2 linked regions of the Sus scrofa genome follow. The protein of the gene in region 2 interacts with the protein of the main gene of each other region in a biochemical or structural test. Links are inferred from orthologs where the notes say so. Each region holds a gene or a part of one and is shown on either strand. Other genes may lie near its edges.

The links.
Region 1: the proteins of MAP3K7 (region 2) and TRIM31 form a complex in vitro, tested with the Homo sapiens proteins (2 studies listed by BioGRID, with this or other methods). The link is inferred for Sus scrofa from reciprocal best matches to the Homo sapiens genes MAP3K7 and TRIM31.

Annotation. Positions count from the first base shown.
Region 1 is NC_010449.5:22,671,228-22,674,745, reverse strand, and holds part of TRIM31 (E3 ubiquitin-protein ligase TRIM31), read left to right. Parts: intron 1-1,406; coding exon 1,407-1,481; intron 1,482-2,759; coding exon 2,760-2,811; intron 2,812-2,813; coding exon of another isoform or gene 2,814-2,824; intron 2,825-3,518.
Region 2 is NC_010443.5:58,516,668-58,520,185, forward strand, and holds part of MAP3K7 (mitogen-activated protein kinase kinase kinase 7), read right to left. Parts: intron 3,087-3,518; coding exon 3,005-3,086; intron 38-3,004; coding exon 1-37. UniProt on the Homo sapiens protein: Serine/threonine kinase which acts as an essential component of the MAP kinase signal transduction pathway. Plays an important role in the cascades of cellular responses evoked by changes in the environment.

The DNA.
Region 1 (3,518 bases), on a different chromosome or scaffold from region 2:
TGCAGCCCTGAACAAACCAACCAACAAACAAAAAGGCAATGACATTCTGGGGAAACTGCTCTTCCAGGCTTGCAGGGAGACAGACATCAGGCAGAGGTGGATGAGTTGGGCATTAGATACTCGGTTAGATGTTTTCAGAAACTTGTCTGGGTTTGTGACCAGGAAGGCGCTTAGATGTTTTTGTGAGTCCCCTTCATTGCAAAGGCTGTGCTTGTCTAAGCCAGGGGTAAAGAGCTGGATGGAGTTTTCTTGCTGGAAATGTCACAAGAGCCCCCCAGCCATTCACACACACCCCCCCATGTGCCTTTGGAAGAAGAGGACGAGGACAAGGCCCCAAGAACCCATCCATTCAGCCAGGAATCTTCGCTCACCAAACACAGACAAAGAACAGTGGTTTTGCTTGTAATTTTGTTGTTTTGAGCTTTTTTCCCCAGTAACTGCTCTGCTTTGTCTGGCTCTTCCATTCCACAGGATGTGATCGTATCTCGCACAACAATGTCACAGTCACTTCAGGTTTAAGAGAGTTTAGTTCTGAAGTTCCCGTCATGGTGCAGCAGAAACGAATCGACTAGGAGCCATGAGGTTGCGGGTTTGATCCCTGGCCCCACTCAGTGGCTTAAGGATCCAGCATTGCTGTGAGCTGTGGTGTAGGTCACAGACGCAGCTCGGATCCCAAGTTGCTGTGGCTGTGGTGTAGGCTGGCAGCTGTAGCTCTGATTTGACCCCTGGCCTGGGAACCTCCATATGCTTCAGGTGCAGTCCTAAAAAGCAAATAAAATAAAGTAGTTTAGGTCCAGTTCAGAATTTCCAGGGATCCGCTACCTTTCCACTTCAGCACAGGCTGGATATGGGCAGGGAGGCGAGGGCTACGAAGACGCACTTTGTGGTGGAGATGAGCGTGGTCTGTTTTGTCTTACATGTGCACACGCACGGGCACGCACACACACACACACATGATCCCCCAATTCCTACCCCCTGCCCCGGTGTGTGTGTGGGGAGCACTGGGTTAAGGATCCAGGGCCAAAGATCCCAGGCCCCGGGAACTTTCATATATGCCTCAGGTGCAGTGGAAAATATAATTAACATTAATTCTGAAAATACAAGTAAAATGAGCTTTTATCAGCTTCTTTTTACTCTTTGTTAACGTGACTGCTAGAAAATGTTCAGTGCTATTTGTGGCTCGGAGTGTATCGCTACGGGACAGTGCTGGGCTGGAGAGCCACTTTGGGAAGCAGAAAGGGCATCTCTCAGAGTTTCATACCTTCTTGGTCCACTGAGAAGATGAGAGACAAGTCCAACTCCCCACTCTGCAGAAGCATTTGAAATCAGTGCCCTGCTGGGTGGTTGTGGGTTCTTTGCTCAGCCTGTCTGAGCTCTCTCCATCTCATTCTGTTCTCTCTCCACAGACAAATGCCAGGCTGATGGCAAGAAAGATAAAAGCAGATTTCTCAAAGGCCTGGATAAGCACTATATAAAGAGCTGTAAGTGATGGTCGCTCCTGCCATTTGGGGAAAGTGAGAAAAGCCAAGGGGAAGAATTCTGTCACTCCAATTACATGAATGCCCAATATAGGTGATGCCCATTTCTCATCAATTGAGAAGAACAGGCACATGGATAGGTTTTATTATTTTGAACTCAGGTAACTCACAAAACAATGACCAATCCCCACATTTAGAAGTAATTCAAATGGAATTCCTGTCGTGGCTCAGCAGTAATGAGCCCGACTAGTATCCAAGAGGATGTGGGTTTGATCCCTGGCCTTGCTCAGTGGGTTAAGGATCCGGGGTTGCCATGAGCTGTAGTGTAGGTCACAGATTCGCCTCAGATCCTAAGTTGCTATGGCTGTGGCTGTGGCTGTGGGCAGCAGCTAAAGCTCCGACATGACCCCAGCCTGGGAACTTCCATATGCCATGGGTGCAGCCAAAAAAAAAAGTATCCAAAAATAATAGAAAATTTTATATTTATTTCTTCATGCCTCTGAGTAAGGGAGGAAAAGGTAAGACAAAGAGAAGATAAAAGCAGCTCAATCTCTGTAGTATTCGCTGCCCCCAGCCGTAGGCTGTGTTTCTGGTTGTAAGGCTGGGACAGCTCAGGGGATGGAGCCCCACTGTAACAGCAGCCGAGGCCAAAGTCATCAGAGATGGCTCTGCCCCACGAGAGGTAACACTAGAAGTACCCTTTCTTAAAGGCCCACGTGTGCTAAGCACCCCACAGCTAACAGTTCAAAAATCCCACAGCTCTTCTCCAAGGATGCGTGTCATTATCAGCAATTTACAGTAAGTTCCCTGCCAGTCCAGGGAGCTGCGCTAAGTTACCCAAGTCATGTGACTACTAATTGAAAAAGACAATCTTGGAACACATTTTGCCAACACCAGAAACCACATAATGCCTTCCAAAGCCAGGGAGCGCGGTCCTCTTCCTCCCCCAGTTCTCCATGACAGGAGCTATTGGTGTTTGCAGAGGTTAAGTCCCCACTGTGCTCTCTGCCTGGTGTGCTGTGGAGTGTGTCCCGTCCAGGCCCCCGGAAACACTCTAGGCCAGTAGGGAATCGCCCCCCCCACTCCCACCCTCTGCCATTACTAGGACCATCTGAATGGTTCCCACACTTCCCCATGGGTGGGGACGGGGGGGGGGAAGGGGGCAGTCTCCACTGAGAACCACTGATGCGTGTTCTTATTGATGGCGGCAGGTGTTTGGTTTTGGATTTTGCAAGTTTCTGGTTATCGAGACCAAAGTTGGTTTTCTCTCCCCATTCCTAGGGTACCTGTTAGAGAAAAGCAATCCTACACCGATGGAAACTTTGGAGCCTGAGTAAGCCCTTCAGGTAGGAGCCCAGCCTCTGAGCACTGGTGGCTTCAGGTGGTGTAGTCAGGAAAGCTGGAGTCCAAACGCACAGATAGGAATGCACTGAACTGACACCGCATAGGAAGGATGGTGAGCAACTGTACAAGGACTTCCCAACACACAGCATCACCCTCCCTGACTGGAGTTAGGTGGGGATGAAGAGCTGCTCTCAGTTCCAGCCTGGGTTGGAGGGGTATAGGGACAGAGCAGAAAAAGAGGTTTAGAGGGAGTTCCCATTGTGGTTCAGCGGGTAACAAACTGACTAGTATCCATGAGGATGCGGATTCAATCCCTGGCCTCGATCAGGGGATCCAGCATTGCTGTGAGCTGTGGTGTAGGTCTCAGATTAGGCTTGGATCTGGCATTGCTGTGGCTGTGATGTAGGCAGCTCTGATTCGACCCCAAATGCCGCAGATGCGGCCCTAAAAAGAAATAAAAAGAAAAGAGGGACTTAGAGAGACTGTTAAGAGGGCCTGGGAGTTGGGAGAGGAAGAAGGGCAGTGGAGTTGAATGTTCTTGAAGGTTTCAGATGCTAAGAGCTAGGACAGCATGGGCATATGGGGGTGGAGATAGCAGGCATTTCATCCATCTCCCCTCCCCCTTCCCAGAGTGGGACACCCCCGCCCCAGGAAATACTGTGCCATTCAATCAGTTTACCCCTAACTTGTTCGGGT
Region 2 (3,518 bases):
TTACTGGTATTTGTAGATGCAATGTCCATGAATGAGCCTAGGAAAGCAGAAACATTTATGACTATAGGTTAGGAATAATACAAATGCTTCATTCAATAAAATGTAACTTTAAATTATTTTCTAAGCTAGCAAGATACAGACAGAAATAAAATACAACTTTTCAAGCTAATGAAGATACCCAAATAAACCCATTTTAAATGAAATTTAAGGACAGCACTTTAAATTTAAGAGGGAACTAAAATGCCTAAAATTCTTCTGAGTCAAGGTTGACTTTTAAGATTCTTAGCCTGAGCTAGCAGAATGGAGTGGCAATTAATCAAGATGGGGAAAACCATGGACGAATGAGTATGAAGGGAGCTAAATTTGGAAAATGGTAATTTTGAGTTCCTATTAGATATTAAGCAAGTAGTTGGATATATAATAAGTGTCGAGTTTAGGTCTGGGGTGGAGCAAAGCATTGGCAAATACATAGTATATAAAGCCATGACTTTGGATGAAATTACCAAGGAAATGAGTTTACAAAAATAAACAAAGAGGCCAAATGCCTGAACCATGGGCACTCTGACATTGATAGGTTGGGAAAATGAGGATTAAGCAGCATAGGAAACCATAAAAACAAGTGCTCAGAGATGTAAGATGAAATCCAGGGTAGTATACTATCCTAGAGACCAACTCAAAGTGCTGAAGGAAGTAGAGAGTAATCAGCTGTGTCAAAGGCTACTGAGAATCAAAAAGCATGAGAACTGAAAATTACTCACTTAGATTTAGTACTGTGAAGATAAATGGTGACCTTGACAAGAGCAATTCTAGAGACGTAATTAATCTAATATAGAAGCCTGAAAAGACTGGGCACAAGAAAGAATGGATAGAGACATGCAAATATAGACTACCCCCCGACCCTTATCTGTGGAGGTGAAGTTCCAAGACCCAGGTGGATGCCTAAAACTTTGGATAGTACCGTTTTTTTCTTATACATATATACCTACGCTAAAGTTTAATTCATAAATTAGGCACAGTAAGAGATTAACAACAGTAATTAAAAATAAAATAGAACAATTACAAGAGTGCATTGTAAAAAATGTTACAGGAATGTGGTCTCTCTCAAAATTACGTCTTACTGTATAGACTTAACACCTTTTCTATCTAATTAAGCACTTATCCTGCACTGTGGCTATAATGTTTGCAGTCTGAGGTGTGACAAGAAAACCAGCACAAATTTCTTTTTCCTTCTGCACAAATTCATGATGGAATTTCCTAGATCTCAGCATACAATTTTTTTTTCTTTCCTTATTAAAATCAAGACCTTTCACCTTTTCACTTAAAGGAAACACTTGAAGGCTTCTCTTTGGCATATCCGAACTGCCAGCATCACTACTCTTGCATTTTGGAGCCATTATTAAATAAGGGTCACTTGAACACAAGCACTGAGATACCACGACAGTAGATCTGACAACCACAAGGGCTACAGAGTGACCAAGAGGCAAGATATACTGGACAAAGGGGTAATTCAAGTACGAGGCAAGGCGGGGTGAGATTTCACCACACCACTCAATATGGCTGCAAGTTAAAACATATGAATTATTTAGTTCTGGAATTTTCCATTTAATATGTTCAGACTGCAGTTGACCACTGGTACCTGAAACTGCAGAAAATGAAATTAGGGACAAGTTGGGGGGTGGGGGGGACTACTGTATATATGCTCTGAGAGTGAACCCAATAGAAAGGATACAACTGATGATGCAAGAGACAGAGAAGAACTGATGAAGAGCAGAGAGGATATGATGCATAAGGATATAGGTGTGCCTTTGGCTGGTAGCTTGGATAGGTCAGCCAGGAGAACAGAAGGGAGTGCAGAGCAGAGGGGCAGATACAGGAGGGTGGGCAGATGGAGTGGGGGGCTTGTGGCAGCTATCTTCTGATTATAGAGAAAGAGCAAAGAGGATTAGCTGGGAGTGAGGAGTGGAGAGGAGGTTTTTTTTTTTTTTTTTTTTTTTGTTGTTGTCTTTTTGCCATTTTCTTGGGCCGCTCTGCGGCATATGGAGGTTCCCAGGCTAGGGGTCAAATCAGCGCTGTAGCCACCAGCCTACACCAGAGCCACAGCAACGTGGGATCCGAGCTGTGTCTGCAACCTACACCACAGCTCACGGCAACGCCGGATCCTTAACCCACTGAGTAAGGCCAGGGATCTAACCCGCAACCTCATGGTTTCTCGTCAGATTCGTTAACCACTGAGCCACGACGGGAACTCTGAGGAGGTGTTTTTAAGAGAAGCTCACGTTAGCATTCAGAGCAACTCAAAAAACTGTAATTTGGGAATAACCAGCCAAATAGTAAACTAGCTTAAAATATTTTTGAAGAGGGGGAAATGGACCAGTAAAATATTTGTCAGTAAAAACAAAATTCTAAATATGGAATAAGTAAATTCACACCTATGTGTTTCAGTTTTAATCAAATTATTGACGAAAAATACTTAAAATAGCATATCTTTTGAGAAGAACAATTTTTTTAAGTTAGAGTATTATTTTTACTATCTTTTTTGATGACTACAAACTATGGAACTGAGGAACACTGAACTATAACACAGCTTTTTAGAGTCTCCATAGATTCTTCTACGAGGACCAAAAGGTAGGTAGGGTGTTCATGATAAAAAAAAAAGTTGTTTTACATATATACATATTTACAATAATTTCTGATACTATCTGATCTAGCAATATCTGTGTAAGAACTATTTTCAAATAAAGAACAACATTCACAGCAATATAATATCCAGTCTTTCTATATATGACTAAGAATTTCAAGACTTAGAAGCAGGTCTTCAGTAACTCTTTAATCTGGATACCTGCATGAAGAATGATGCACCTGGAAATTCAAATTGCAGTCAATCACATTAAATGAAGAAATTAAAATGCAAATGAAGACATCATTCATTGCTTCTTGATTATAATTTCATAGGAATAGAGATAGAACAATTTTATGTTATTACTGTTCCAATCTATCCATTTACCTGTACTGGTGGCAGAGTTGCTCTGGCCTTCATCTGAATACTGACAGGGGTATTGTAATGGCTCATCTGCTCCTGGAAAGTACTATATATAAAAAAGTAAATAACAATTTAAAATTTCTTTAATACAAATTGAATCCTGTGAAAATTAACTTGAAGAGTACATGTGAATTACTTTCTTGTTGAGATTTGAATGCAGCAAAAATGCTGCTTTATTTTCAGTAAGGCATACGCTGAATTTGTAGATACCCAAGGATTTGATTTTACATAGATGACAATGTGCTATTCTTCTGAATTTCAACTGTGATCAATGCCATGTATCTAGCTATGTATCTATTTTACACAGTCTAGATAGTCTTGAAGAAAACAGCAAGTATTTCCCTAGAGGATCCTACGAAATACAATAGTATCATTCCTCATAATTACATGAAACATATTTATGTTCTCATAGCAGTGATGTGGAATCAAACTGCTGAAATGACTTAGTCTGACAACTTAGATGGTATGTCACAGGGTA